Linked DNA regions of Diceros bicornis minor. The protein of the gene in region 2 binds, or shares a complex with, the protein of the main gene of each other region. Links are inferred from orthologs where the notes say so. Each region holds a gene or a part of one and is shown on either strand. Other genes may lie near its edges. The genes, in order: PTMA, KEAP1, FBXL17 and NFE2L2.

What was found.
Region 1: the proteins of KEAP1 (region 2) and PTMA are in contact, whole or in part, in a crystal structure (PDB 2Z32), measured with the Mus musculus proteins. The link is inferred for Diceros bicornis minor from reciprocal best matches to the Homo sapiens genes KEAP1 and PTMA. Residues at the interface, in NP_001103775.1 of Mus musculus: Tyr334, Ser363, Arg380, Asn382, Arg415, Phe478, Arg483, Ser508, Gly509, Tyr525, Gln530, Ser555, Ala556, Tyr572, Gly574, Phe577, Ser602; in NP_032998.1 of Mus musculus: Gln40, Asn41, Glu42, Glu43, Asn44, Gly45, Glu46, Gln47.
Region 3: the proteins of KEAP1 (region 2) and FBXL17 are in contact, whole or in part, in a crystal structure (PDB 6W66), measured with the Homo sapiens proteins. The link is inferred for Diceros bicornis minor from reciprocal best matches to the Homo sapiens genes KEAP1 and FBXL17. Residues at the interface, in NP_036421.2 of Homo sapiens: His59, Thr60, Ala63, Ile66, Met67, Glu69, Leu70, Gln75, Leu76, Gln82, Lys84, Ala90, His96, Val98, Ala101, Ser102, Ser103, Ser104, Pro105, Val106, Lys108, Ala109, Met110, Thr112, Asn113, Gly114, Val122, Ser124, Glu126, Gln163; in NP_001156787.2 of Homo sapiens: Asp395, Arg397, Arg421, Lys423, Asn447, Gln473, Tyr475, Met524, Arg548, Asn572, Cys574, Leu575, Trp577, Glu596, Tyr598, Val600, Ser601, Asp623, Trp626, Lys628, Tyr647, Met651, Arg652, Val676, Leu677, Asp679, Cys680, Thr683, Leu684, Arg686.
Region 4: the proteins of KEAP1 (region 2) and NFE2L2 are in contact, whole or in part, in a crystal structure (PDB 3WN7), measured with the Mus musculus proteins. The link is inferred for Diceros bicornis minor from reciprocal best matches to the Homo sapiens genes KEAP1 and NFE2L2. Residues at the interface, in NP_001103775.1 of Mus musculus: Tyr334, Ser363, Gly364, Arg380, Asn382, Pro384, Asp385, Gly386, Asn387, Asn414, Arg415, Ser431, Gly433, Cys434, His436, Ile461, Phe478, Gly480, Arg483, Ser508, Gly509, Tyr525, Gln530, Ser555, Ala556, Tyr572, Phe577, Ser602, Gly603; in NP_035032.1 of Mus musculus: Leu19, Ile22, Leu23, Arg25, Gln26, Asp27, Ile28, Asp29, Leu30, Gly31, Val32, Val36, Phe37, Phe39.

What each region holds. Positions count from the first base shown.
Region 1 is NC_080776.1:20,082,775-20,090,634, reverse strand, and holds the start of PTMA (prothymosin alpha), read right to left. Parts: upstream 3,155-7,860; 5' UTR 2,983-3,154; coding exon 2,938-2,982; intron 167-2,937; coding exon 95-166; intron 1-94.
Region 2 is NC_080769.1:8,739,448-8,746,675, reverse strand, and holds the start of KEAP1 (kelch-like ECH-associated protein 1), read right to left. Parts: upstream 3,147-7,228; 5' UTR 2,990-3,146; intron 2,887-2,989; exon of another isoform or gene 2,600-2,886; intron 2,493-2,599; exon of another isoform or gene 1,025-2,492; 5' UTR 978-1,024; coding exon 339-977; intron 1-338. UniProt on the Homo sapiens protein: Substrate-specific adapter of a BCR (BTB-CUL3-RBX1) E3 ubiquitin ligase complex that regulates the response to oxidative stress by targeting NFE2L2/NRF2 for ubiquitination.
Region 3 is NC_080740.1:31,796,379-31,803,987, forward strand, and holds the start of FBXL17 (F-box/LRR-repeat protein 17), read right to left. Parts: upstream 3,202-7,609; 5' UTR 3,141-3,201; coding exon 2,151-3,140; intron 1-2,150. UniProt on the Homo sapiens protein: Substrate-recognition component of the SCF(FBXL17) E3 ubiquitin ligase complex, a key component of a quality control pathway required to ensure functional dimerization of BTB domain-containing proteins (dimerization quality control, DQC).
Region 4 is NC_080749.1:57,827,089-57,835,140, forward strand, and holds the start of NFE2L2 (nuclear factor erythroid 2-related factor 2), read right to left. Parts: upstream 3,111-8,052; 5' UTR 3,107-3,110; coding exon of another isoform or gene 3,062-3,106; intron 2,094-3,061; exon of another isoform or gene 1,877-2,093; intron 1-1,876.

The DNA.
Region 1 (7,860 bases), on a different chromosome or scaffold from region 2:
AGCATCCTCCTCCACCTGGACTAAGCCCAAAATCGGAGTAACAGAACTTCTCGGCCAAGAGCTGCTAGGGGTCATGAGCGAGGTGGACACTCACAGCATTCCCATTAGCAGGTGCGTCTCTTCCGTTCTCCGCTTCCTCCACAACTTCCTTCTTCTCCTTTAAGTCCTTCAAAAAAGCAAGAGTAAACCAGTAAGTCTTCTAAGTAACCCAGGGCTGGCAAAGAGGCCCAAAGGCTACAGGTGTACGTGCCGTGCTGACCTGGACAGCCACAGGTGAAAGAGCCGCACGTTACATATGGAACCGCTAGAAGGAGGGACCACAGCATACCGAGCACGACTATGGACAAGATTTCAGCCGATTTTTCAACCCTTAAAGCACACTAACATACTAAAAAGGGCCCACTACGTCTGGTCCCACTGCCCACATACTCATGCTTCTGAGGAAAGAAGCCATGTGGCAGCACAGTCCCAAACCCGTCTGGCCGGGCGGACGAGCCCGGGACACTTCACTCACACACCTATCACCGACTTGTTTCCAAGCACAGGAGCTCCGCCTCCCACAAATCCTTCTTGGAAGGCAGCACGTATACACCATAAATAAACCAAGTCATGTAGGGAGAACCCTGAAACCGCGGGAGAATTCCCGGGGGTGGACCAGCCTGGGAAGGGACTGGGCGGGAACGAACAGGCAGAGCTGGGGAGGCCGCCTCGCCCGCCAGTCCTCGCAGCCGAGCCCGAGTTCCTCGCCCACGGGCGCCCAAGACCCGGCAAGCGTAGGTCTCTGAAGAAACCGAGATCCTACCAATGTCCCATATCCGACAGCTGTCCCAGAAGGTCACAGATTGCTGCCTGGAAATGGGCGCCGGCGACGTGCGCCCAGGACCGCCCCATGTCCCTCCCGGCCTCTCGCCCGTCCCCGCGGTGACTCGGGGTAGCCATCGCACCGCACCTCGCGGCGCGCACACGGCCCGCGTTCCAAAGGGCAGAACCACCACGGCTGCTCCTAAGTTCCGTAACTTTTTCCACCCGGCGTGGCCGAGCCGGCCGCCAACACAAACAGGCGTCGAGCGGCCCGGGCGCGGGGGGCCGCCCGGCACCGTCCAGCGAGAGGCCGGGGGGCACCTGTCGGCCCTGTTCGCCCCGGCCGGCCAGCCCGCCGCAGACCCCAGCGCCGCCCGTTCCCGCCCCCTGGCGGCCGAAGCCCCGGGGAGCGGGTGGGGGCGGGGAGGTCGCGGCGCGCAGGCGCACAGCCCCCGCCCGGCGGGCTTTGCGCGCGGGCCTCGGCACGCACCGCGCGCGCGGAGCACGTGGCCCGGGGCCGCCGAGTGCGCCCCTGACCCTGGAGACCCGGGGCCCGCCGGCTTCGCGAGGCTCCGCCGAGCGCGCAGGTTGCGCGCCGGTCTTTCCGGGCCTCCCGCCGCCCCCCCCCCCCCGCGGGCCTAGATGCGCCAGCCTGCGGCTCTGCATTTGGCGGGCAAAGTCCCGCGGGAGGCCGCCCCGAAGTCCGCGGGGCTTTTTCAGCCCCGCAGTCGGAGACCGTCGGGGACGCGCTCCATGGGGCGATTTATTGCCCCTAGCGGAAAAACACCTTGGAGAAAAAGCGAACGTGGGCGCCTGCACATAAGAGGACCGATCGTCCTCCCCAAACTAGTTCCCGGGCTGGGCCCAGAGGGGGCCGGCGGGAGCCCCTGCGGCAAGGCAGATCGCAAGCTCCGCTCCGCCGGGGGAGTCGCCCCTGGGGGAAAACCAGAGGTGACGCCAGAAGCACCGAGGTTAAGGAGACGCCAAGGTGACTCGCGCCCGTCCCCGCAGGGACACGAGAGGATCGCGGACAAGAACCGAAGGATAAAAAAGCCGGTCCACTTCCAAGTGCCGCGCTCCCGCCGAGGGTGGAGACGCTCCCCGGGGCGAGCAGCGGAACCAAAGCGGCGCGCAGGAGAGGAGCTGCGCCAAACGCGCAGAATCTCAAAACCGAAGGCAATGAACCCGCAGCACCGAGCCCCGACAGGCCCCCGGCGCCCGGCTCGACCTCGCCACGGCCAGCCACGGCCACAGCTTTTGTTCGCCCGTGGCGCCCCCGAAGAGCCGCGCACACGGTGCTCCCGGGCAGCCGCGGGGGGCGCCCATCGTCGCCCCGGCGCGCCGCTCCTTCACTTTCCGTTTCCTCTCCTTCAGCGCGTGGGCTCGCCTCCTCCTCAGCCAAGCCCGGCATCGCTGGTGAACTACTGAAGCTGGGCGGCTGCTCCCGGCGCGCTCCCCCGGAGGACGCCCACCCCCGCCTCCCCGAGGGCACCCCGGGCGGAGAGAAGCTTCGCATCTCCGCGGAGACGATCGACGTCGCGGCCGGCCGGCCCGCCACCCCACTCCGCCTTATCGGAGCTTAGTCCAGATAAGCCTCCTCGGACCCACTGCAAGGCGCGAAACAGAGCGGCCCGGCGCGGAACAAAGAGCAGCGCCGCCGCCGGGCGCTCGCCGCGGAGCCGCCACTTCCCGCAGCCGGCCCGCGCCCGCACGCGCGCCCCCCCAACACTTCCGATTGCAAACGCGCTCGAGTTTCAAAGTTATTTCCGTGCGCCCCGCGGGCCGACGACCCCCAGCCCAGACCCTTTCCTCCCGCCGCTGCTCAGACCAGTCACAAACAAGTTTCGGGAGCCCTGGAGCAGCCTCCCCACGAGCCCCTCAGCCTCCGCGCCCGCCCCCCGGAGTCCCTGAGGGCGCCCGGCCCATTCCCCGACGGGCATCTCGTCTGGCGCTTCCCGCCCCCCCCCCCCGCACACACAAAGAGTGGGCTGCCTGGGGACCTAGGCCGGGGGCAGGTGGGCTCCCCGCGGGAAGGAGTAACAACGGGCTCGGAGCAGCCCAGCAACCACGCGCAAAACCCCGGTCCGGCGGCAGCGGCGCGCGGAGCCCGAAGGGGCGGGCGGCGTCCAGCCTCACCTTGGTGGTGATCTCGGAGCTGGTGTCCACGGCCGCGTCTGACATGATGGGGCACGCCGGTGATCCGATGCAGCGGATTAAAAAGAAAGCGAGAGTTCAAGGACTCTGGCGACAAAGCTGCCGGAGTCCGCGGCGGCGGAGGCGCGCGGCGGAGGCGGCTGCGGCGAGCGGGGAGCCGGACACGGGAACAATGCAAAGATGGCTTTTCAGAGCAGCCAGTGGGGAACTCACGCGGCGCCAGAACCTTTAATATAGATTTGTGGGCGGCGCTCGGCCTCCCTTGCCCGAATACTATTGGCTGAGCGCAGGGAGCGGGCGCTCGCTCATTGGCTCGATTCCGAACAATGGGCAAGCGTGCTTAAAGCGGCAGTGCCTTGGTGCGTCCCGCGCTGCGCAGTCGCCGGCCGCACTGTCATTCAAGGCCTGAGTTTGCCGGGTCTCCGCGGCGCCGACGCCGCGGGGGGAGGGGCGCGCGGGCGCGCTCAGGACGCTCGCTCCCGCTGCTGTTTTGCTGGGGCTGCTGACGCAGAAAGCCAAAGCGCGGCAAAGCTACCCGCCCAGTCCCCAGTCCTCCCCCTCCCCGCGACTGCTCGGAAGGAGGGGGAGGGAAGAGGAGGCGGCGGCCGGCGTTCGCGACGGCTGCCAGCGAGGGGGAGGGGAAGGCCCGGTGCTGGGCTGCGCTCGCCCCGGGCGGTGCCCTGCGCAGTGCCCGCGGAGATGCCCGCCCCCGGCGCCTGGGCACCTTCGACCGAGAGTGGTCCCAGTGCAAGTGGGCGGAAACCCCAAAGACGGGCGATCAGGGTGCGAGGCCGAGAGCCGCGTACTTGGGCCGCCCCGTCCTACCACGTCCAGCCCCGGGCGCCCGGAGTCCCTGGGTAGGGGACCCCGTCGCCCACCATCAGCCCAGGCCTCCGCCGCCTGAGCCAGCCGACGAGCGGGCTCCGTGCCAAGCACACACACTCGGGGATTCGTGCATCGAGGGGGCGCGAGGGCCGGAGCGGGCTCCTGCCCTCGAGCAGGACTCCTAGCTCGCGGGCGTCGCACCACACAGCGGTCCTGAACTACAGGGTTCTGGACAGCGCCTGCCCCAAGCGGTCGGTGACTGCCGTCGCGACAGCCTCAGGGAGCCTCTCTCCAGGTCCCGGCCATCGAATCTGCCCCGCTCCCACCCCACTTAAGGGGCTGCGAGGGGCACACGAACTTATACATTGCGGGGTTATTGGGGGGAAATAACCGTCTCTGAGACCAGCTGGGCTAGTCCTTGGGGGCTCCTTGAAGTTCAGGGCGCCATTTGGGGAACCACGCGGAGCCCCGAGAAGGGAACCATCCTAACGCCACACTCAAGATGGCGTTGGGCTCGGCAAGCGTGGCGTGACGCGGCGATCCGACCTACGCAGGCGATCCGAAAACCGTAGGTTACACCCTCCTTATCGCCACTGCACTCGGCTCTCGAACTAAGAAACCAGCTGTGTGGGAGGAAAAATTGGAAAAGGTGGAAAGATGTTCCAGAAAAATATCTGTGCCACACACAAGATGGCGACGGATACGGTTCATTCCTGCGTTGCCAGCAGGGGGCGCCCGACACGGAAGGCGGGACTTCGGAGAAACGAGCGCACATTGGCTGAGAGTGGCGGGCGAACACAAAGTTGACGCTTTGCGTCCTGCCATTGGCAGATTCCGCTGTCTGTCTCTTGGGGCCGCCGATCTGGGAACGGAGAAAACCCGGAGTCTGGGATCGTGGAGGGGGAACGGGTGCCAAGTCCATTAAAGCTTGAAATCAGAAGAGAACGGAGAGACTGAGTCGCCCTTCTTGGTTTTCCTAGGTTAGGGGCCCCCCATTCCCACCGCGAGACTCCCCTTTCCTGTGGGTACCACGCACTCGCCTGGCTGCCTCCCCAGGACCGGGCTCCGCTGCCCGGCCGGGAGGAGGCACGAGTGCCGGGGCGCCACCCGGGTCTGGGCCCCCTCCTGCTGTCCCTGTCCTGTACGCGTCAGGCTCGCATCCCTGTTCCCATCTGACAGTCTGGCCGCTGGCATGTAGGACTTCCCCGAACGAGTTGTCCTTTGGGCAGAGAGAAGCCCGAGGTCCCTGTCCTTTGGCCTGGAGGAACATGGGGCACATACGGGACAGAGCGGGGGCACCGCACCACTTCCCTCTGCCCGGCGGTCGCCATCCCGTGCCGGTTACGCGGCGGCGGAGGAGGCGTCCGCCAGGTCTCCGCCCTGCCCCAAGGCGCCCCAATGGCTGGAGGTGGGATTCTCCCGAGGGTGGGCGCGAGCCGATCCAAGGGACTGACAATGGTGTCCCCAAGGACCACGCGTCCCAACTCTTTGTTCGGCCTCCTCCCTCCCGCCGCCGCTGCCTTTACTGCTCCGCGGACCTGGGGCCGCCCTTCGCCCCAGAGGAGGAGGGGACTTCTTGCCCCCCGCCGCCGCGACCCCCCTCCTTTGTGCCACATTCTCCGAGAGGTGGAGGGATTTGCGACATCATAAATGGGGCAGGAGAGCGCCTTCTACCTGCGGCGCATCCGTTAAGCTCTGGTTATCCTCGAGGGGATTGTTAGTCCACAAAACCCGGATGTAGCGGCGAGAGCCTGGTCTGTGCCACATCTAGGCGATTGAGTCGTCTTCCCTGTCTGGATGGTGGCCTTAGGTAGTTGTCTCTGTCCACAGCTGAAAACTATACGTGACTATTCTGGATTCTGGCCATTGGGGTGGGGGGGCAGGGGCAAACATGGGGGAGGAGCTAGGTGAAAGTGAGTTTCCCTCGAGGAACTGCTTTGCCTGACCCTGTCCCCGTGCAGCTGGCTTTGCTAGAAGTGGATAAGGAAGGGGCTCACATCCACCTGGTTCTGGAACCAGCATTCACATCTGCCTAGCCTCACTGAGTGCCTGCTGCATATGTGGCAGTGAGACTCTGGCTCATACGTCAAGCATTTTCGTTTATTTGCTGCACCTTGCAAGGTAGGCCGGACAATTATAGGGTTGAATCGTATGAAAATTGGTGTTTTTGTAGGTCAAAACCAAAAAAATTTGGTTAAAAATCAGCAAATTTATAGGTTCAACCTCTAATATTTTATCACTCTCCTTTTAACAAGTCAAAAAAGCAGACCAAGGGATTATGGCAAGGGACTTGCAGTAACCAAGTAACTCAGTGACCAGGCTGGGGCTAAAATCCTAGGATGGAGGAATCTGCGTTGTTAGATGAGCCCTGGAGCAGAAGTGGCCTCCTTGAACCTCCTCCTTGCCCTCAGAGTGTGGCATTTGATGGCTCAGCTCGTAACTGGTGGAGTTATTTAGGCTACCAAGAGCCTCATTCCCCCAGTGACAGGCAACTCCCCACCTCTTTGCTGTTTCTGAACAGGCTGTTTTTCCTGGCCCCTGTTAACTTCCACTCATTGAGGCATTTTTGCCCTTTGCTGTTTCTGAGGCCTTTCAAACCCACCCCAGACAAGCTGGTAGGCCCAGGAAGGCAGCATTTCTTGGCCCCGGTCTGTTTACAGCCCGAAGTGCACTGGTCTAAGCCAGGGGCCCCAAATGGCCTCCGGGCAAGTTTTGTTTTTAGGGAATTTGCATATGGACATGGCGTGGGCTGTCTACACACTTTCCAGTTGGACCACAGGCCTCTCCCTGCCAGTCCTGAGTCACATGTTTATTTCACCTGCTGAGCCCTGTAGGCACTTAAGTTTTCAACCCTTGCAGCTAAGCCGTTTCCACCGTATTCCTAACTGGTTGTCTTAAATTCTGCTTGATTCCCAAAAGACCAGAAAGACTATAAATGCTGGTAAAGCTGCCTGGCTTCAAGTTCCAGCCCTGCCACACACTAGCTATGTGAAATTAGGTGAGTTACTTCCTCACTCTAAAAAATGGAGACCACAGTAATAGTACCTACCTTCCAGGATTATAGTGGGAACTGAACGAGTTAATTTTTAGAAAGTGCTTAAAATAGTGTCTGGCACATCCGGGAAAACCATCCATGTTCCCGGGACCCCCCTTTCCAGTTGCCATCTGTACCTAAGTGGGTCACACTGTTTGCAGGACTCTGGACAAAGGAACGATGTCTTCAGCAAATTCATCCCATGTTCAGTGGGAAATGAGGGCACTGGCCTAGCTGAGTTTCTGGAAGCCTATGATTCCATGCCCAACATGCTTGGCAGCCCCTCTGGCCTCAGAGGAATGACAGAGTCTGGGCGGCAGCCTGAGTAGAGCAGGCCTCAAAAAATCCCGCCCTTCAGAAACCCAGGAGTTTCAGGCTGTGGTTTCCTGGCCCAGGCGTAAGGGCCTGGGGAGCTGCCAGGGGCCTTTCAACTCTCCCGCCCTGCCGACCGGACGGGATTGTGTAAGAGCCATCCCCCAACATGCCTGCTCCCTTGTGCAGCACGCCTGGGCCTGCCCATTCTCCTGGGGAGCTGTGCCAGAGGCCCTGGTACCACACAGGTCTGGCTGCCCCGAGAGGCTCCTGCCTGGTGGGGAGAGGGGGGGAGCATCTCTTGATGTTCCGGGCATGCCCCCAAACTGATGCCCTGGTTGGAGACGAGCTCAGGAGGCTGGGGGAGGTGTATGTGCTGTGTACACGGCCATCACTGCTTCCTGAGCACACTCGTGCCGTGATGCCAGTTCTGGGCTCCTCGTGCACGTGCCCCCTGCAATGTCTCCAGGAATCTTCTGCCTGCCCGCGCCATTTCCCAGCCCCTCATCCCTGCATGCATCTGTGTGTGCGCACCTATTTGCATAGCTCGAGCTCCGTGGGTGTTTTGCTTAAGCTCTGGTTACTGTTTGTGAGTGTGTGGGCCCAGCATCACGGTGGCAGGTGAAAGTGCTGTGGGGGGAGCACGTGTGCAGACACATTCCCAGTCACCCTGCCTGGGAATGCCTTCGAGAGCATTGCCCCCAAGGAAAGGGGGTATGTGGCTGGTATGTGAC
Region 2 (7,228 bases):
GGGGGGGGGGGGGGGGGGGGGTTCAATAACTATTTGCTGACTGCCGGAAATGTGAGGCCCTGCTCGGTGAACCCCAGGTTGAGCTGCTGTCATGTTCACTGCGCCCTGTCCCCACCCTTGACCCCAGGGGAACCAGGGAGCCCATGAAGGCCTCCCTGTCCCCAGCCGTGTCCCGGCGTCCCCCCAGATGTGTAGACCAGGAGCTCAGAACCCCATCTTTCTCCAGCTCCCCGCCTCGGCCCTTCTCATCTCCAGCGGAGAGGGTGAGGCCCGCCTGTGCGTCCTGGGTCCTTCCGAGTCCGCCCCCCAAGCGCCCTCGGGTACCCCTCTGGGCTCACCTCCCCAAAGTGCATGTAGATGTACTCGCGGGCGCGCTGGTGCAGCTCGGCACAGCCGATCTGCTCGGCGAAGTTGGCGATGCCGATGGCGTTGCTGGGGTCCAGCTGCTGCACGAGGAAGTCGCTGCAGGCGCGCACCACGCTGTCGATCTGGTACATGACGGCGCCGTTCATGACGTGCAGCACGCACTTCTCGCCCATGGAGATGGACGCGGTGTAGGCGAACTCGATGAGGCGCTCCATGACCCTGGGGTGGATGCCCTCGATGGAGACCACCTCCATGCCCTGCTCCCGCAGCCCGTTGGTGAACATGGCCTTGAAGACGGGGCTGGAGGAGGCCAGCACCACCTTGTGGGCCATGAACTGGGCGGCCGGCACGTCCCCGTACTTGACCTGCAGCGTCACGTCGCACAGCTGCTGGCTGAGCCGCAGCTCGTTCATGATGCCGAAGGCCTGCTTGGTGTGGTCCTCCAGCGTGTAGCTGAAGGTGCGGTTGCCGTGCTGCGAGGGCGTCACCTCGGCCTTGCACTCCGTGGAGGCGTACATCACCGCGTCCCCGGCCCCCTCGGGGCGCTGTGACCGCAGGGGCAGGAATCGGGTGCGGGCCCCAGCCCCGCTAGGCCTGGCTTCCTGCTGCATGGGGTTCCAGGCCACAAGGGACAACACCACCACTGGCACTCAGGGGCCTGGAGGAGGGAGAGCACAGGGCTGGGGGCGGGGCCTGGCGCCAGGCCTCCTTTTTAAGGTAAAGCGACCCCTAGACCAGTATTCCTTGCCAAGCCGCGGTGCAGCAGCATCCACGTGGGCTCGCTAACTGTCCCAAGGGTCGCCAGCCCAAGGGTCCCTCTTAAAATTAACACAGGTCAGATGATGTCCTTCCCCTGCTCAGAATCCCCCCACAACTCCCTATGGCATGAAGAGTAAAAACCGAACTCTTCGATGACCCGCAAAGCCCCCTGCAGTTAGCCCTTCTCCACCTCTTCCCTTTGCTCACTCTCTTCCTGCTATCTGGTGGCCCTTCCCTTCCTAGAGCATGTCCAGCTCATCCTTCATCCACCTCGCCAACATTTATTGAGTGTCTACTGTGTGCCAGGCACTGTTCTAGGCACCCGCGACACAGCAGTGAGCAAGACAGACATAAACTGTGCCCCCCTGGAACAGACACTTGGGGAGCAAAGGGCCATAAATAAAATGACAGGGTGACCTGGAGGCAGTTACTTAAAGTCAGGTCGTCCAGGCCTCTGTTGGAGCCGAGACAACAAGGATGAACATATGAAGGGGGTGTGGGTGGGAGTTAGTGTTCCAGGCAGAGGGAACAGCAAGTGCAAAGGCTCAGAGGCAGAATGAGGAAGGGATGTAAGGAGAGACAATGACTCTTGAAGGGAGGGTTTCCATGAAACCCGCGGCGTCTGGAGGGCCAGGGCGTGAGTTGTGCTTTGAAAGGCCCCGCAGGGAGAAGTGGGGGATCTGCAGAGGCTCCCCAGGTTCTGCATCTCATCCTTCCGGGGCTCAGCTCAGAGTCACCTCCTGCCTGTTTTATTTCCATCCCCGCGCTCGTCGGGAACCGAAAGGAGCTCCTCTGCTCACTTGGTGAGGGCTGGCCCGGCCCTCTGGCGCTCGCCCCCGCGCATCGGAGGGCAGGGAGTGGGGGTCAGCGTTGTGCCCACCCTCGCATGTGCCTCGCGCACGTCCGGCCTGGGGCCTGGCACCGCGCAGGGGTCAGTGAGCGTGTGGCTGGCGGGCTGCCCGCTCTCCCGCGCCTGCCAGGGCACCCTCCTCCACCAGGCCACGGCGGAGGCCCCGGGCCTGCCTCTTGGTCTTTGGCCCATCGATCAACGGTGCCCGCTGTGCGCTGGGCACTCCCCCCCAACCACCACGAAGCGGTAAGTGGGGGACTGCGCATGCCCCGTCGGAGCCTCCACCGAGGCCTGGAGCAGGGAGGAAGTGACCCCGCCGCGGCCTCTCCACTGCCAACCCCAGGGCGCACGCCAAGCCCCCAACGCCCCGGGGTCCCGGGGCCTCCATCGGAGCGGCGCTCCCCGGGCCTCCCGCCCGGCTGGCGTCGCCCCCGCGCCACCCCGCCGGTCGCGCCGTCCAACAAAAGGACAGGACTCGGGCCGCGCCCTCCTGGCCCTCCGCGGGGCCGCGGGCACCCCGAGGCCACCGGGCCCGCGGCGGCCCGACCCCCGGCCCCCGGCACGGCCGCAGGGGCGCTCGCGGCCCGCCGTGCCCGCAGCCCGGGCGCAGGCCGCCTCACTCACCCCGCCATGGCCGCGCTCGGGCTCCGCCTCCGTCGCCCAGGCCCGGGCGCCTCCATCGCTGCGCCGGGGGGAGGCGCGGAGCGCGCGCAGGTCACCATGACTAAGCAGAGCCCGGCGCCGGCCGTGTCACAATAAAAGTCCCCGCGGCCCCGGGGACGACAGAGGGGCCGTCCCCCCCCCGCCCCCGCCGGATGTCGCCAGCTGCGCAGCCCCGGCGCGGCCACCACAGCGCCCGTCCTGGCGGCGCGGCGGGGCGGGGGACCGCAGCCCTCGGCGCACCCAGCCGCGTGGTCCGAGCCGCCGGGAATCGCGGCCTCGGGTTCGAGGCCCGTGCGCCCCAGTCCGCACCCGGGGTCGGCGGACACCCCTCCCCGCCGCCGCCGCGCTCACCTCGGCCCCCGCGCAGCCCGGGTGGCTCGCGCCGCGGGGGGGATGCACCGTGGTGTCACGCGCGCGCCGCGCTTCCGGGAAGCCCGAGGGGCCGCGGCCCGGCCGGGGGCGGCTCCCGCCTAATCGTCGCTGTCCGGGCCCCCGGGCGCCTCTGCCGTCGGGGGACCTCGGCTCCGGGGCCGCAAGGCCTGCGGGGTCGCGGCCGTCGGGTGGGGGTCGGCCTCGGGACGCCCGGGAAGGAGGCGGGGAGAGGGCGGAGAGGGCGCGGCGGGGAAGGAGCCGCGATTCCCCGCCCTTCCCGCAGGTGCCCGGCGCCCAGGGGCGAGGAGCGGGGCGTCGGGTGGGGCCGCATGGCCAGGCGCCCCCTGGCACCGTCCCTTCCATCCGCCCTATTTCGTGGTCTCAGCGCAGGGCTGCTCTCCACGGCTCACTCCTCCTTTAACACAGGCCTCACGGTCCGGCGGCCGCAGGATCCAGCTAGAATTATCTACTGAGTTCGGTTTTCCTTGTCTTTATTTTTTAGGTACCTCCAATCTAGAGGCGCGTGGAGCTCGTCTGCGCAGGTTCGAACCCCGGCTCTGGCAATCTCTAGCTCCCTGCCGGTGGGCCTGTAGCTTAACCTATAAATTGGTAACAATAGGGCCGGCCCGTCGCTTAGCGGTTGAGTGCGCCCGCTCCTCTACTGGCGGCCCTGGTTCGGATCCCGGTCGCGCACCGTGGCACCGCTTCTCCGGCCATGCTGAGGCCGCGTCCCACATACAGCAACTAGAAGGATGTGCAACTATGACATACAACTATCTACTGGGGCTTTGGGGGGGAAAAAAAAAAGGAGGAGGATTGGCAATAGATGTTAGCTCAGAGCCCGTCTTCCTCAGCAAAAAGAGGAGGATTAGCATGGATGTTAGCTCAGGGCTGATCTTCCTCACAAAAATAAATAAATAAATAAATTGGTAACAATACGAGCAGCTACCCGCCAGGTTATCGGGAGAACTAAATGCCCATGCTACCGCCCAATAATATGAACGATTGTTATTTTTCATGACAAGGGATACTGATTTGCCATTTATGCTGTTTATGCTAGAAAGTTAACTTTTCAATAAATGTAAGATTATTTTTAAAAGAGTCCATCTATATGAAAACTAAGTGAATAATAGAAGAAACGCTAGACTGAACAGAGGTTGGTGTAAGAAAGGATTCTGTCCACCTTCCGGGTGAATTTGGAGGATTCAAGGTCCCTGCTCAGTGTCTGGGATTAAATGGGAGGCCGGGGTTCCCCACCTGGCCCCTGATTTCTCTTGCGTGAGGCTGCAGTTCTGGACTGCTCCAGAGGGGTCGACATGGCGTAGTCGCGCTGTGCGGAAACCCGCATCCTGCTCGAACACGCCAGAAGGCAACCCCTCATATCTCTCAACATCAAATCTACAGGTCCTGTGACCCAGCGGTGACACTTGTAGAGATTTATCCAAGGTACACTCGCACACGTGCAGGAGGATGTATGTACACAGATGTTTATTTCCACCCTGTGCTTACAGGCAAAAGATTGCACTCAACCCACATGTCCCTCCCTAGGGCCCTGGTGTGCTAAGTGGCGGCACATCCATGCTGTGAAATACTATGTAGCCAGTGAAAAGGAGCAAGACATTTGCTCTACGAATTTACCTTGATTTTTAAAAATGTAAAAAAGAAGTGCTACAGACTGAATTGTGCTCCCCCTCCAAAAAAAAATTTTATGTTGAAGCCCTAACCCCCAATGTGATGGTATTTGGAGATAGGGGGCTAATTAGGGTTAGATGAGGTCATGAGGGTGGGACCCCCATGATGGGATTAGTGCCCTTATAAGAAGAGACATCAGGGGCTGGCCCAGTGGTTAAATTCAGGGCACTCTGCTTGGGCAGCCTGGGTTTGAGGTTCGGATCCCAGGCACGGACCTAGACCACTCATCAGCCATGCTGTGGTGGTGACCCACATAAAAAATAGAGGAAGATTGGCAAGGATGTTAGCTCAGGGAGAATCTTCCTCAGCAAAAAAAGAGAGAGAGAGAGAGAGAGAGACATCAGAGAGCTTCTTGCTTTCTCTGTACCACTCGAGGACACAGGAAGAAGGTAGCCATGTGCAGGCCAGGAAAAGAGTCCTCACCAGCACCCAACCAAGCTGGCACCCTCATCTTGGACTTCTAGCCTCCAGAACTGTGAGAAATAAATGTCTCGTTTAAGCCACCCAGGCTATGCTGTTAGGGCAGCCGGAGCAGACTAGGACAGCAGGACACTACAAAATCTGTGGATGTGGGGCCGGCCTGGTGGCGCAGGTGTTAAGCTCGGGGGGCCCCGCTGCGGTGCCAGGGGTTCCCGGGTTCGGATCCAAGCGCGCACCCACGCACTACTTGGCAAGCCATGCTGTTGCGGCGTCCCATATAAAGTGGAGGAAGACGGACACAGATGTTAGCCCAGGGCCAGTCTTCCTCAGCAGAAAAAAAAAGAGCAGGATTGGCAGATGTTAGCACAGGGCTGATCTCCTCACACACACAAAAAAATCTGCGGGTGTGCAGCAATTTCCAAGATACATTATTAAGTGAACAAAGCAAGATGCAGAGCAGCGCTGACGTTCTGTAAAAAGATGTGTTTACATTTCACCTCCTTTATCCACAGCACAGCTCTGAAAGATTCCCGGGAATTCCCACAGTGATGGACTCCAAGAAGGGGAACTAGTGCTTTCTGGCTTTTCTAGAATATGAACAAGTGAATAAAGCTCCTACCAGCACACCATCAAACAACCGAATAGCGGGCTGGGGTGTCTCAGGTTCCCCGGGAAGAGCCTGGAGGTTGGGGCGCCAGGCCGGGTGGGGAACTGGGTCCAGTCCTGGGGGTGTCCTGGGACGGTGACCCCAGGCTTCAGTGTGTTTGTGTTCCGGGAAGTAGGTCGGTTTGCCACGCGTGGCCCGTGGAGACTCAGGCCCCCAGGCTGAGTCGGTGGTCCCCAAAATACCCCCCCGCCCCCGTCTTTGCGGCTGCCTGCAGTTCCGCTGTCTCCCGGCAGGTGGCGTGCGGCAGTCTGAGCCCGGAGCCCCCCGCCCCTCCCCCGGGCCGGCCCTGCCACTCAGGGGTCAGGAATGCGCCTGGGGACAGCCAGGGGCCGCGGCCAGCGCGCCTGGAGCCTTTTTTGGGCATAAAAGGGGCCCTGGTATCGCCCCCGGCCCAGAATGCAGACCCCCAAGGGAGGGGGCCTTGCCAGACCCCTCTGGAGGAGCCAGACAGCAGGCCTGCACCTCCTGGGACCTGGGAGCCTGGCTCAGACACTGGGACAAGGCTTGAAGTTTCCTCTTCTGTCAAATGGGGGTACAGGAACCCACATTGCAGGGTTGCAGTAAGGGTAGGAAAAAGGTGTGTTCTGGGCCTGCCACAGTGGGGAGACTAGCCAGGCACAAAAGCCGTCATTGTTTTTATTTTATTATATTTTTATTTTGTATGAAGGATCTGACACCACACTCAAAGAAGTCTTGTTTCGGATAGGAATTGGTTGAGTCTCCCAGAGTCAAATTTTAGGGTGCCCTGTCTGGTGGTCCCCTAAACTGGAAAGCTGTGATTGGCTTCTTTCTTTCCATCATTTCCACACTCAATTCCTCAGTAATTGTGTTGCTGCCTCCAAAATCTACCCCTAACCCACATGGTCTGGGGCCCCGTCATCGCTCCCCTGGGCCAGTGCAGTCACCTTCGCCTTGTTCTCGTAGCTTCCACCTTCCCCCTTCACAGAGATCTGTGAACATCTGAACTAGGTCAAGTCCCTTCTCTGCCTAGAACCCTCTATGGCTCCCATCTCACTCAGAGCAAAAGCAAAGGCCTCCCGTGGACCCCTGGGCCACCTGCTCCATCATTTCTCTGCCTTTGTTTCCTCCCATTCTCCCCCCTCCATTGCTGCTCCAGGCACATCGGGATCCTTGCTTTTCATAGAACACACAGGCACATTCCAGCCTCAGGGCCTTTGCATCTGCTGTTCCCTCACCCTGAAATGCTCTTCCTTCGAGTATTCCCAGGACAATGACGTCTCAGCTCACATCACATGTTACCCCCTCTTCAGAGAGGCATCCCCTGACCGCCATCGCGTCACTGTATTGTCACTAGAATTATCTCCGTTATTTCGTCACTCCATTATTGCCTGTGTCCCCACCAGAGGGTCACTTTCAGAAGGGCAGCGATTTTGTCTGTTGTGATCACTGCCGTGGCGTTTAGCATCAATAAAATACAT
Region 3 (7,609 bases), on a different chromosome or scaffold from region 2:
CAATAACTCAAGGGAGGATATAAACATTTCTTAGAGACTTCTCTTAGCGGCATGACATATGCACCCAGAGTCTCAGCCCAGACTTCCTAAACACCTAGTCATTCCTTCGTTCATAAATATTTACTGAATGCTACTAAATACCAGGCACTGCACTTAGGGGAGGGGACAGAGCAATGAACAAGATCTATTTCGATAGAGCCTCTGTCCTCAAAAAGCTTATCCTTAAAAGTTCTACTTGGATTGGTAAACACTGAAAAACCTCGATTTCAATTCATTCCAAACAATCCAACTCACTTCATGCTGAACCACTAGGACCATGAGACCCACAAGAGAATCTTTATTCAAGCTTCTAATACAAAGAATGGAAATCTACATAACATGTGCAAATACTCTGACACAACAGGGCAAGTCCAACCGGTATTTCTCATATGTTCCTCAGACCAAGTTTTCAAAAGTCCACAGCAAAAATGCGAGAAAGAACAATGTAGCTGATAGAATAAATTTATTCTATAGCAATTCTCTTTATTACGAGATCATGTCCTTCCTCCTTTCTTCTTTTTATATTATAACGTTCTCTACCTCATGAAATAATGATTTAGGTAGAAAGTACCTGGTTTCCGTTTTGGTTTGGTTTTAAACAGTCTTACTTGCCCAATAACAAGACAGCAATCAAACCTCTATACCAAATATTTGTTGATATTTTATTTGTCCATGTCATCCACTGATTTAAAAGACTCAAGGAAGTTCCTTCTGCCCTAAAAATGCACATCCTGAACACACACAGAAACCAATTACTCCGCCAACAAGTACACCTCAATAAGAGTTAAATCATTACCTACTGACACAAGGAAAAATTAAGCTTTCCCATTCTTTTGCTGTATTATTCACAAGAACATTAATATCACAATAAAACAGACCCAAAAATCACAGGATTATAGATAGGCAAAAAGTCTAACCAAACAAAGAAAGTATACTGATGACACTAACAAATGGAATTGATGACAGTTACTTCAATAACAATAAAAGTAGCCAAATTTTTATCTAGGTTATTTTTGGCTAGTCTTAAATATCATCCACATTGAAAAAAGAGGTTTATATTTATTAAGCTCCAGAAAGGTGTGGGGGGGGGTGGGAGTTGGGGGAGATGAGAGAAAATGAGGAAAAATAACTAACTTGTTAATAATAACTTAATACAAACTCTACCACATAATTAAGTTTGTCACTAGCATCAACAAAACTGCAAAATTTACTTGTAGTTCAATGTGAGACAAAGCTCCCACAGGACACTCACCTCTTCTCCACTGGCCCATTCCCCAACAAAAAATACATCTGTTGTTACCTTCTGGTAATCTGTACGCTTTTATGTAAGGGTTAAAATGTAGAAAGGCAATACAACACAGCACAAACAACAGGGTTTTCAAGTCAGGCAAGCCTAAATTCCCTAGTTCAAGATCCAGATCTACCCCCTACTTTCTGTGTGTGACCTTGGACAAGTCATTCAACCTCTTCAAGCTCCACTAGACTGTAAGCTCCATAAGAGCAAAGACAATTTCCGCCTGACTGACTACTGTAGGCACATAGCACTGAAATATCAGTTTCTTCTTGTATAAAGTAAAGATGTTTACGATATTTATCTCACAGTGGTAATTGGAGGATTGAATGAGACATTATGTATATAGAGCTCTGACACAGTGCCTGATCATAGTAAACGCTCAGTAAAAGTTAGCTGTTATTGACATCAACTAGCAACTACCAAACCTCAAAGTACTGTTTGAAGACTTTCAAACACTAATATGTACACAAAATCTTTACCCAGTAAGTAAAAATTGCTCAACTGATGAAAATATTTCACAGAACACCTACGAATAGTTTCTAAACCCCTGGGCTGGGAATCTAATGATAGATGAACTCTGAATTGTGCCTAATAGACCCAAGTTATTAAAAGACATTCAGTAGACTCCAAGTTTTTCTACTTCAAAAAATAGTCCATAAGCATCCTCCCCATTGGCTTTGCAATCTACCCTTCGGACCTCTCTGGCTGTCAGGGAACCCCCTCCTCTGCGCTCAGGGGGAGGAGAGAGAAAATCTCCGAGGTGGGGGGCCGGGGTTGAGGGAAAGCGCGCATCCCTGCGCCACTCGCCCAGACCCACCTTGAGCAGGATGGATGGCGGCAGCTGATTGATGTCTGGGGTTTCAGGGGGCGCCTCCCTATGACAGTCACAGGGGTTTTCGGGGGTCTCCTGACAGTCCGCGTCGCCGCATTCATGCTGCTGCTGGGCAGGCGAGGGGGCGGTGCCCCCCGCTCGGACTGCGTCCCCGCCGGCCTCTGTGGGGGCAACTTCGGAAGTGGGAGAGGAGGGCGGGGGGCAGAGAGGCTGCGGCGGCTGCTCTGGACCCTGGCAGCAGCCGGCGTCGGGGGGCCGCGGCGGCGAGGCGCCTCCTCCGGCGGGTCCTCCCCCGCCGCCGCCACCGCCGCCGCCGCAGCCCCCACCGCCGCAGCGGGGCTGCTTACAGGGGGTGCAGGCGGGGACCCCGGCCCCCTTCCGCTTGCACACCATCTCGGGGGGCGTGGGGGGCTCGGCTGGCGGCGGGGTCGGCCCCCGGAAGAGCTGCACGGCGGCGGGCGGCCCCAGGAAGCGCACGGGCCCCACGCTGGCCAAGAAAAGGCTCCGGCCCTGCTGCTCCCAGGCGGCAGCCGCAGCCAGCCCCAGCTCTTTGCAGCAGGAGGCGGGCGACGAGGCCGAGGCGGCGGCAGCGGCGGCGGCGGCGGCCGAGGAAAGCAGGAAGCGGCGGGCGGCGGCGGCGCAGTCCTCGGCAGCCAGGGCCGCGTAGCACCGCGCCAGGTGCTGTGAGGAGGCAGCCGCGGCGTAGGCCCCGTCCCGCGGCGGCGGCGACAGCGGCGGCTCCTCCTCTGAGCCGGCGGGGGCGGGCGCGCCGGGGCTGTGCACGATGAAGCAGAGCATGCAAGGCCCGCGGAAGAAGCAGTCCCGGCTCCGGGGCGCCGCCGGCTGAGGGGGCGCCTTGGCCGGGGTCCGGCGGGGCAACCTGAGGAGAGGACGGCGGCGGCGGCACCAGCTGCAACAGCGAGGCCTCTTCTGGCTCGGGCGGTTACGCGGCTCCTTCGAGAGAAGGTGGCCCATATAGAAGGCCCCGGGGAGAGGGACCGGGACGGGGAAGTAGGGAGGCCCGGAGAGGCGGGCTCCCGGCAGCGGGGCAGGCCGCTCGCTGGCTCGGCCTCGGGCCCGCGGCGGGGTCGCCCGCCCTGCGCACCCACGGGCACACGCGCGACGGTGGGGGGTGGGCGTCAGATGCGGGCCGCCCCGGCGCCCGACGGGGGCTACATGCTTTGCCCAGGGAAGCCGGGAGAACGATGGGCGCGAGCTTTGGGGACGCGACAGAGGGAGCGAGCCTGCCGCCTAGGCGACCAGTCCGAGCCTGGCCCGCCGGCTCAGTCAGTCAGTGCGGCGGCAGGGGGAACGCGGGGTCCCGCTCGGACCATTTTAACTGCGGCTCCGCCGGCGGCGCGCGCGCCCGCGACACAGCTCGAAACCACAGGAGCGCGCGGCCCGCGCGGGGAGGGGGCGGAGCCGGCGGCGGCGGCGCGCTCGGGGCGGGGGCGCGGGCGCCCGGCTGCTCACCCGGGACAGCCGCTAGGCAGGGACTGCTGGGAAGAAGCGGGCCGGCGAGGGCGCGGGGCTCGCGGGGAGCGGCGCACGCACCTCCCTCCGGTCGCCCAAGGTTTCGCGGAGGCCGCTAGGCCCACGCCCCTTTCGTGGGGCGGGAGGAGACGCTTCCGAGCCAGCTGTGTGACATCCGTTTGCACAGCCGCGCTGACGTCTGTAGGTGTAAGTTCAAGAACTGCCATTGGCCGGGAGCCGCTCGCTCTTCCCCTCAACCCCCACCCCCGGTCTAGGAGACCGAGGCTCCCAAGGAGCCGTAAAGCCGGTTCCGCCGGAAGGCCACCCTGGGTCCCGGCTGCCTCCGGTGGAGTGGCAGATGCGTGGCCTTTGGAGGAGACGGACCTGTGTTCTTACGTGAGGGGCTTATTGGTAGTGCAGCACTGCCGTGTTTCTCCGACTTGTTTTCGTACTTGTTGCTTGTGGCAGACTACTGACTTTTCATAACTTTAGTTCAAAATGAAAGCATATATCAAATTGCCTATACATATCAGAAAAATAAACAGTTTCTCAACCCAGTGAGTCATCCAACATCCCAGGCTACAAGCTGTAGATGACTTTTTCGTCTGCACCCTCGGAATCCCAGCTATCCATCCATCATATATTTCAAGAATGATTGTGCTGTGCCTGCTATAAGATAGACGGTTCTAGGCGGACCTTGGGGACCCAGATGAGAGAGAGCAAATAGGCTTTGGAGACAACCCGTTAGAAGGTTTGACTATGATACCAGAGAGAGAGAGCAATTTAACAAAGCGGTGGCTGGTGTTGAGAGGTTAGCTTTCCCAAGGGAGAAATTGGAAGAGGCTTAAACACAGATGGGAATGAGCCAGTATAAAGGAAAACATAGGGATACGAGAAGAGATGATACAACAAGGCCCCTGAGAAGATGGACTGGTGAGTACCTTACGAGGGCTACCATCTTCTTTGTAATTGGAAGGAATAACGAAAGGACAGATAAACAATGGATACAGATAGATAGATGTTTCTGGCAAGAAAGTGAAAGAGTTTCTTTCAAATGGTCTCTATTTTCCTTTATGTGAAGCCTGGTTACCTGCTGAAGGGTGGAAGGAAAGTGTCAGGTGTTTAAAAAAGCTACTAAAAACTTCAGAGAACTGACTAAGGAAGCACTATTGCAAGATCCAAGGCCTATTGGCTTAGAGACCATTGTTTGAGCCTGTGTGATTTTCCCACCACAGTGGCTAGCATCACCCAGCCTTCACCCAAACACACCAAGGAACCTTTGCTAACAGTGGCTTGTCAGGAATGACTTTTATTTTAGGTCTGCCAACATTCAGGGATCCTTTCTGAGCTTGATCACAGTGAGATGGAATTCCAAGAAACCTAGAGGCAAAGATTTGTCAAATCTTTGTAGAGGTTTTTATACCTGTTACTCCCTATCAAATGCACTGCCCAAACTACATTCATGTACAGATATTATCCACACAGCTTTCATCCCTCTGACTATAAAGGGATCTTCCAGGGCCCCACAGCTCCATAGGTGAGGACAGGAGGTTAGGAGTTATAACCGATCCTTTGGCATCTCTACCAGCCTACACTGTGAGCAAAAGGAGGGGTTCTAAACCTTTTTATTACTTTCTCTATGTCAGAATTGTGGACCCATTAGTTTCATATAAGTTAAACACACACTATGGCCTAGCAATTTCACTTATAGGTATTTATCTAAAAAAATAAAAGCATACATCCACAAAAAGACTTGTTCAAAAATAGCAGCTTTATTCATGATCACCTAAATCTATAAACAGACCAGATGTCCATCAGTAGGAGATTGGATAAATAAACTGGTATACTCATTCGATGGAATACTACTCAGCAATTTTTTTTTTTTTTAAAGACAACAATGTGTAGGAATTTCAAAAAGTGAAGCTGAATCACACTCTGGAGTTGGGGCCCTAGAAGCTCTACCAGATTTTAACAAGCTCACCATGTGATTACTACACAGACAGCCTGGCACCATGCAACCCTATCAGAACTGCACATATAGTATAACTCCAACTTTTTGTTTTCAGAGATGAGGCAAGTGACTCTGAGACTTTTTAAGTGGTTTCCGAAATTCACAGCAGTAGTTCTTAAATCCGATTCCCGAGCCATTCAGCCGCAAGCAGGTGGCTGTTTTTCTCTTTACAACAGCATGTAGCAGAGGATCCTGTATATTTTAGTAATGATTAAGAAAGCTACTCGTGTCGTCAGCAGAGCTGTAATGAGTTTTAGAGCTCATTACCCTAAATAATAATGATAAACATTGTAAATATTCAGGAAACAGAATTATGAATAAAAGTTATAAATTGCAATTTAGAGACAATTATAGCACTTTATGGCTTTGTTAGTGGGAAAAAGAAAAGCAGCCTGATCATCCAGGAGCTGGCCTGGAACTGTTAGCTACTCTTTGGTGTTACCGACGTTCTCAGGTAGGTCTGAGTGTTCTATTTGAACATAAACAGATCTCACAAAACGTCAACGTCAGACATGGCCACTCTGTGACCGTAATAGACAAGACAGAAATAAGACCTCCATAATCATGTCTGAACACAGCAAATGCCAGAACATTCTCCAAACCACAAAAATGACCATTCTGGCTAATATAAGTGACTTCTGTTTCTTGACCAATTACAACCTTAGCCTTGCTCCATTCTTCCTACCTTCTAGATAACAATTATTAAAATATCCAATCATAGAATTACCTCTGCTTCCTGACAGCGTCCAATCTAAACCAAAGCCTTGACTCTTCCCAAAATCACCTAACACAAGCCCAATCCTGTAATAAGTCTTTTACAACACCTTCTTCCTGAGGCTTTCCATAGTTCCTCATGGTGTGCTATCTGCCTCCTTGTGACAAGTCAATAAACCCAACTCGCTTTGATTATGGGTGTGTTCCTGCTGGTCTTTGGCTTCTGGAGTGCATGAACATTTGTTATAATCAAATGTTACCACCCTATCCAAAATTACCCCCTCCTTATGCTGTGCACTGTAAACTTATACAGTGCTGTATGTCAATTATATCTCAATAAAACAAATTACTTCTTCCTTTACCCTTTCCTCTTACCTCATTTTTATTTTCTTTATACCTCATTATCACGTGTTTATTGTCATTCTTTTACTTTATTCAGTCTCTTCCACTAGAATGTAAGCCCATGAGGACAGGGAGTTTGTTCAGTTTTTAGGAACATAATCTGGCAACTGTATAGAAGATGGACTAGAGAAGGACGAGGCTCTTAGCAGGAAAACTAGGTAAGATTGTTCAAAGGGTCAATGGAGAGGCCTTAAAAGCCTGAACTAAGGCAATCATGGTGGGGATAATGAAGTAGGGGTGGGACTGAGAAACATTTGATATGTTTCTCAGGATTCTCAGGATTTAGTAACTTATTTATGAACTCAAGAGGAGGGGGAAATGGATAGTCAGGAATAGCAACTTGTGTATTCATATGACTTATTTCAGCATATAACTTGTGAAATAATGGATTCTGTAATATAAAATATTTTCGTATTTGAATAAAATTCAAACCTGGGGTAGACATGTTACGACGTAGTGACATTCACACTGAAAGCCAGTAAATAAATTTAAAATGTTGAAAAACAGTTTAAAAGAAAACTTTTCTTTCTTCTTTGCCAACACAGAATATACTCACTTTGAAATTCACATTTGCCTATAAAAAGACACTCATGTATAAAAGGCTTTAATGGGGGTCGGCCCCGTGGCTTAGCGGTTAAGTGCGCGGCACTCGGCTGCTGGCGGCCCAGGTTCGGATCCCAGGCGTGCACCAAGGCACCGCTTTTCAGGCCACGCTGTAGCGGCGTCCCGTATAAAGTGGAGAAAGGTGGGCACTCATGTTAGCCGAGGGCCAGTCTTCCTCAGCAAAAAGAGGAGGATTGGTATGGATGTTAGCTCAGGGCTGATCTTACTCACTGGAAAAAAA
Region 4 (8,052 bases), on a different chromosome or scaffold from region 2:
AAACTACCTAGGTTTGAATCCCACCTCCGCCACTCAATAGCTGGGTAACTTTAAGCAGGACTCTTGCCCTCCCTATGCCTCTTTTCTCACCTAGAAACTGGAGCTAATAGTATTTCCCACAGGGTTACTGTGAAATTACGCATGTGAAGCAATTATCGCAATGCCTGGCACGCAAGGAAGTGCCCAATAACTCATCTATCATTGTCATAGTGCCAAATTCTTCCTGCACCCAAGCGTTTACATGGAAAAGTTACCCCAGATCGAGGAAATATTATTTATGCAAAACCCCCTTTAAATGCGTTCAGCCAGTAGCGAGGAAATTCCCAGGAAAAAAAATGTGCTTATTGTCCACAGAGAATTCCTTTTCTCATGCAGCTCTGTAAGTATAATTCATCCTGAATAAAAATAAATATTAAGAAAAATAATGTATTTGGCTTTCAACTCTTCCCGGTAATCCTAAAGAAAGACACTTGCTTTTTCCAGCATTCTTTATAAAAACCCAAGTTAACAAGAAAGATTCCAAAATGGACCAAGTTATTTTTAATGCAGAAAGATTGATGTGAGTTGTGTATTTATCCTCCTGCATGCCACTTCCATGATCTCTCAAGAGATTCTTCACCTATCTAAAAAGTCAAGTTGTTCTTTGCTTAACATTCATTCAGGAGATGAGAGGCCTGTCCTATTTTTCTTTTAAAAATAATCTTATCAGTCTATTGCCAAGATCAACTTCATCCCTCCTATACGAAAGTACTCTTTTCTTGAAAAGAGTAATGGATGGTTGCTTCCACCTAATGGAAATACAGAATTGAAGACTCTCCTTCCTGCCCTGTTCGTTATAAACCTCCTCTGCACAGAAGACGAAAAACTGAATGATACTCCTATCTTACACCTGGAGTTTCCTGAAAAAAGGTCAGAATCCACTTCTGACTCTTTGTTCAAATCTTTCTGGACTACAAACAGTGATTTAATATGAATCATAGTTATACACATGAAATTGATTCTAAATTTTACTTCATTTTCTTTTTTCATAGTCTTCAAATATGCATATTGATGTCCGATTACAAAGGCGGAAAGGCAGTTACCTCATCAAACATAACTGGAAAATTCATATTTAAAAGAGAAAGCAGTACATGTGCTTTACGCATTTTTGTATATAGAATGTTAAATTACATAGTAAAGAAAGAAAAAAATAAAAAATAGAGGGCTCTAGGCTACAATTCCTGAATTTAGGAAAACTAAAGTCCATTAGCATCATATATCTTTTGGTCATACAGATTACTATGTAAATGGCTATATAGATTACTTTTGAACAGCAGCTAAATAGAAAACACAATTTACTTTTTCATAGTAGTGGGAAGGCGAGGAATACAATCCTAATCATTACTGGGGGAAAGTTCAAGACAAAAAGCTTTAAAGAAAAAAAACCACAATTAATACATTGTCAGTAACTTAAAACCTTACTTTAGATCTTCAGGATCAGTCTAAAACTTTACATTTAAGAGCACAAACATATTTATTGTATCTATTAAGTTATACATCTCCTTGAACCAAATATTTTTTCCTACGAATCCAAGTACAAAAAAAAAATTTGGAAATATAAATATCTACTCCTTTAAGAGTCTCTACAAAGTATGAACAGAAACTTGTTTTCACTTTTTATAACAATTTACAGAACCTGTTAGCAAAGAACTATGAAACACAAATGTCTCATCCTCTGCCCCTGCAAAAGAAGCAACATGCCAAGAAATCGAGGCAAATTGTCAAACAGAAAAGGAAAATTATATAAAGCACTCAAAGGAGAAATAATATATGAAAGCAAAAAATTACTAACAGCCTAAAAGCAATAGAAATGCTAATGTACACTAGCAACTCTTACCCTTGACAGCAGAGAAGAGAATATCCTGCTTTATACATTTTGGAATTGCAATTCTGAAACGCTAAATCCAAAGACAAAGCCGCCCTGGGGAAAATAGCAATTGCGCAACAGATCAACAGCTCCAACTTGTCCCTTGGCCCCGACGCGGCAAGGTTTGCACGCTATAAAGCAGGAAAGGGCCAACCGAGGGCCGCCGTGACAGCCAACTGGCCACTGTCACGGAGGCCGAGGCCACGCACGCGGCGTGCGCCACCCGGAGGCACCGCGCGGGGATCGAGACGCCCGGGGCGCGGCCGACTCTGACCTCCGAGTCCGCTGCCCCGCCTGCACTTCCCGGCGCGTTGCGAGCGGCCGACCCGGGGTCTACGAGCCCAAACTTTTCCCACCGCACGAGGGAGCGCGCGGGGCTCGGTGCCGCCGCCGCACGTCGGGGTATCGGAGCGAGCTGGGCACTTCAGGACCTCCTCCCTCCCCCACCCTGGGGGTTGGGCTTTCTCTCCCAAGTGCTTAAGAGCGATCGGATGGGGAGACTGATTGATTACTTTGCAAAGAAGCACTCCTGTACGGCCCGGCGGGGTGAAAGCGCCGCACCGCAGCCTGCGCTCCCGGAGCTCATGGGGCCAGGGGGCGACGGCAGAGGAGGGGCTCCGGGTCTCTGCCCGGAGGGGACCTCAGCTCCCCCGAGAGCGGCCCCGTGACTAGGCACATTTTTGCCGACTCCGAGGCGGGGGAGCCGCGCAGCCCCGGAAGGGCCGGGCTGCGCCGGCTCAGACCGCCAGCGTCCGCCCCCTCCTGCCCTGCCGCCCGTGGGACTGCTCGAACTCGGGGGGCTGGCCGGGGCTCCCGCGTCCCAGCTCCGGCGGCCGGGGACACCCCTTCACCCCACGCGCGTGGGCGCAGCCCCCAAAGCCCAACCCAGTCGCCCTCAGGGGCCGCGGGCACACTGTTGGTCGGACCACCCGACCGCGCCCCCCACTCCACTCGCAGCCCCTGGGGTCCCCACTCCCCCTCCCAGCCCGGCCCCGGCGCAAGCGCAGCGGCTCCAGTGCGCGGCCGCTGCAGTACAGGTTCCAGCCATAGACGGGAGGAGAAGCCGGCTGCAGCTGTCCCTCCCGGGCCGCGGCTCCCTCGGTCCCCTGTCCCCGTCCTGGCACTACCGCGGGGCCCGGAGGGCCGGGGCAGCACCTGCTGGGACGGCTGTCCCGGTGGCGGCACCTCCAAGGCCATCATGCTGAGCTGTGGACCGTGCTCTGGGGCTCCCCGACGGCGGCCCTGTCCCGGCTGCCGAGGCGCGGCGCGGACAGGGCGGCACGGGTGGCGGCGGCTCCTCGGGTCTCCCTCTCCGCGACACAACCGGAGTCGCCGGCCGGGCCCTTGCCCTGCTCCGCCTCCCGCCCCCCGAGGGCGGGGCACGAGCCCAGGCCCTTCCTTCCCCCGCTGGCCGCGCGGGCCGAGCTTCCGAAAATCCCCCACCCCCGCCCCGGCTGACGCAAGAAGCTGGCGGTCTGGGGGCGGGGAAGGGCCGCGGGCGCGGGTCCCTGTGGACAGGCGGGCGGGGTGCCGGGAGGAGGGCTGCATTAGCTCTCTGGTCTCCGCTCTGAATTTGCTCTGCCCCGCAAACAAAACCCACGCTCTCCGTCCGCGAGATTAAGAGTTGTTTGCAAGGTCGCTGGGGTTCCGGCGCTTTGAAACAGTTTAAACAGTTGGAACAAACACGCCTGGAGACCCGGCAGAGGCGCTGGTATCGGAGCTGCGCCTCCCTGATTTGGAGTTGCAGAACCTTGCCCCGCTTTATCTCACCCAACCGCCCGGGAGTGGCGCCAGCCCCGGGGGCGGGGGCCGAAGGCTGGGACCCAGGCCGTGCGCACCGCAAACTGGCCTCTCGCCATCGGTCCCCCCCCCGGGGCTGGAGCCAGTGGGACTTGCCCAGGGGAAATGTGGACCGCGCGGGGAGCTCGTGCTCGCAATCACCCTGAACGCCCTCCACTTACTCCTACGCGCTTGCACTCTTACTAGACTCAGGTTGCCAAGGGCAAACGGAGAAGTCTCTTTCGGTCGGAGAGTGGTCAGTATTGCTGGCCAGGAGCTCTCTCTTCCCACCAAGGCGCGCGCACCACACCAGAGATGGCGTCCTTTAACACTGCGATAATGCAACATGCCATAATCTTTGCAAGTTTCTTTTCACGTACGATATAACTTAAAAGATAAAAATGAAAATAAAAAAGATCAAGTTATATAATAGTTTGTATGATATGGACCCGTTTTGTAAAAACATGTGCCTAGAAAAAAAATTGAAAGTTGTTCGCCAAAATATTAATAGTTGTAGAATCATGAATAATTTTTATCTTTCTCTTTGTTACTTTAAGTATGTTTTAAATCTAAAATGACTATGTATTACATTAAAAACAGTTATTTAAAAATTAATTATTGCCCACAGAAAACTTCAAGTACTTGAAAACAGGAATATTGTGACATCTTTCAAGATTTAAAAGAGAATAGATAAATGGTTTTGTTTTGGTTTTTTCTTTTATACATTAACAATCTTCCTCACTCTTTAACAAGTCTGCTTTTCAGTTTCTAGCTTCTTGGAATTATGCAAAACCAGGTGAGTAGACAGTGCCCGCAGTGATTTTACTATTTCATTCAAAAACCTGATGCCAAGGGGAAAAAAAAAAGCCTGACTATAGCAGATCAACGCCCTAAAATCTGCAAAGAACATACTTTCTCTTGGTTGCATAATTTGACACTCCCCGGATTTATCTGTAAATTTATATGTTCAAATATTCCTTGAGGTAAGTGAAGCCTAAATTAATTGCTTGTAATTGAAGCAAGCTTCTTCAACTTGAATTAAACCCTTTCAGATGTTATGTGAAAAGCCGGCAAAATGATCTGCACACTGAAAACAAGTTTAGGGGAAGTTATTTACAATGAATCTGACATGAAACATGCAGAGACATAACGAAATGACATGTCTGCGTCAAAGAAGGGCACAAGAGTATATTCTTAACAATTCAAGTTACTTATTAATACTACTAAATCTGTGAAGGCAGACAATAAGCCCAGGAGGTAGGAGATACTAAAGTCATATATGACATGGTTGCTGCCCTCAAGGAGTTTATAAAGTGTTTGGTATTTCCTTGTTAAGCAACAATTTTCCATTGAGTTTAGATTGAATGAAATAACCTTTACTTTTACAAAACGGCAATTGCTGAAAGTATATTATTTCAGGCACCTGCAGAGTACATATTTTCAAAGGGAGGAGAACAATATGATGAGTCTGAACATGTTTAAGAAAAATAAACACTAAGGAAAAGCTGTTTGGTGTTAAATGGTGGTTCAGCACAAGAAAAGGGAACCCCAGTCTCAGACCACCCATGTCAAGGAGGTTCTCAGTCTTTGCAAACACTGAAATGAGATGGTCTTCATGTGAAAACCTAGGCCTTCCCCTCTAAACCTACATATTGTGCTATGGGGGCACAGATGCTGCACGTTCAGAAGCTCCAGGGGAACAGGAAAGAGGATGCTGATTTTTTTCTCCTGTCCTGGTGCCAGGGGAGTCCTTTTTACTGCTAGGGTCTCCTAGCTACTATTTTATTTTTTCCCCCACTTGGTTTCACATTCTACTAACCCTTGTACATTTCCATTGATGTCTGAATTTTTTGCTGTCTTTGGAAAGACAACCTTCCATATATGCTAGAAATGTGTCAGAATTGTAATACTTTGCTCTAGAATTCTTATAAAAAATGAGCATCATCAAGTAAGCCTTCTGAGTGTGCAAAGTTTGGATAGTGATGCAGTGACCCATTATTTCACCTTCTTCTTGGTGATCTAACGTGCCAAGTTTGAAAGGCCCAAGAAAGTACCACTGTTTCAAAATCCTTCATCACCTTGAGACTTCTTCCCTCTTCTTTTCACTTCCCCTTAATTGTACTCCCTGTTCAAGCCAGAAAATATCCAGACTCTCTTGAAATTAGAGTTGAAATTCTAAATTTGTCCAGCTTACAAGCAGCTAGTTTCCAAAGGTGGCAACCAATGAACCACCCTTCCTGATATTGATGTGCTTGTGTAGTCCCCCCACATTGAATCAAATGACTTGCTTTAACTTATGGAAGGAGGCTGGAAGTGACACTATACCAGGTCTCTGCCTAAGCCTTTAAAAGGCCTGAAAGCTTTTAATTTTATACTCTTAGAAGTCAGCCATCATGTAAGAAGTTTCACTCTTCATGGGAAGACAGCCATGGGGACAACCCTGGGGGATGAGACTCCAAGTGGAGAGATGCTATATGAGCCAAGAAGGCACCAGGCATGTGAGTGAAGAAACCAACTTGGACCTTCCAGCCTACCTAGTCAAGCCCCAGAGGACTCCAGCCCCAGCTGCTTTCTGACTGCAACCATAGATGAGAAACTCCAAGCAAGACCAGTAGAAGACTGCCTGGCTGAGCCCAATCAGTCGAAAGAATTGTGAGAGATTATAATGTTATTTTTAGCCACTAAGTTTTGGGGTGGTTTGTTTCACAGCAATAGATAACGAAAACAGCATATATTGAATACAGAAGGCAAGGTTTCTCCTGGCTGCCTTTTGTTTGTTAATCATCCTTAGGAGCACATATAGGGATGGTACTTTGCAGTTTAACAGATTCTCAAATCCTCAGAAGCAAATTGCCCTCCCTGTGAAGGAGGAAGGTATCTTTCCTATAATATATACTTGTTGCTACATACAAAGTAAATCACCTCATCACAGCATGCATCAGTATCATACTATTAAATAGATGATAGTGAGATATTCTCCTTATCAAAATACACTTAAGGAACACAGATATTTCATCAATTAAGTAGATGGAGGTATAAACACGTACAGAGATTCTGGCCCTGACGTGACCTCATTTATACCAGTTATGTAAGATACTTGCTGAATATCTGCTGAGGGAATTTGAACTTCAGGAGCAGCATGCCCAGTGGATAAACTGAACTCCAGTACAGCAGCATTCAAAATAATTGGGGTATTAATTTCAAAAAAACACCCATAACCTTGGTTCCTTGGTGTGCACACTTCACTATGCAAACTACTGATACAAAGAGCTGTATATCTCCAAAGCCAGTTTTAACTCATAGAGTTTCCTGGTCATAATAGAAACAGTACTCTGCAGGAACTGCAGCGCAGTAAGTAAAGAGAAAAGCTCAGAAGTTTAAGAGTGCTTTTGAATTATATGTGTTGATACCTATATAAATATACCTGCACAGGAAAAAAAGACTGAACATATACACTCCAAAATGTTAACCATAATCATTCTGATTAGATTACTGATAATTTTATTTTTCTCATTTTTGCCTGTCTGTATTTTCCTAAATAAATATGTATTACTTTTATAATGATAAGCAAAAAAAGTGGTGGTGGCGTGTAGTGGTAAGGAAGGAACACTTGCTTTTCTCCCAAGCCACTGGGTCCATTTCATTTTCAATTTGAATTTTAACCACAAGTTTTGAAAATCTTTCCATTCTGCATTTACTAGAGTGGAGCCTGGAGAATTTAACCACATCTTTAAGTGTGGTTGTGGAAAGAGTCTAAAGATCCTTTGCTCTTTCAATCTGCTATATTTGCAAAGTTTCACTCAGCAAAATAGGAGCCCCAGACAAAGATGGAATTTTATGAGTACATTGAGTAGAGACTAACAGCTGCAGCTTGGGAGTGATATGCAAAGTTTCCCATACATAACATTGCTGTATGGTGAAAATAAACAGAGTACAGAAAAACACTTATACCTAGAAGTATGTCTTCAGGGCCAGTTACCAAATAATGAGTATACAAAATCAGACAATTCAGTTTTATCACTTTTTCATCTTTTCTGCATTGTTCAGATTTTTACAGTAAGCACTTTTAGAATTAGGGGGAAAAAATCAATTAAATTATTTTCATTTTGAACAAACAAAAAGTAGAATGTAATGATGGAAGAACAGGCCTTGCAGATGAAGCCTTTAACACTTTCAGAGGCTGGAATGTGAAAAAAGGAAGTAAGATTTACCAAGATATTTGCCTTCTGGGATTTGCTATTCCATGGACTCTCATTTTGGCCTTTGAGTAATATCAGAATTAAAAGAATGCTTAGAGATCATCTGGCCCAAACATGGCAAGTAAGTTTTACTTTTATTGCCAACTCCACTTGATTGGTAGTGGCTGC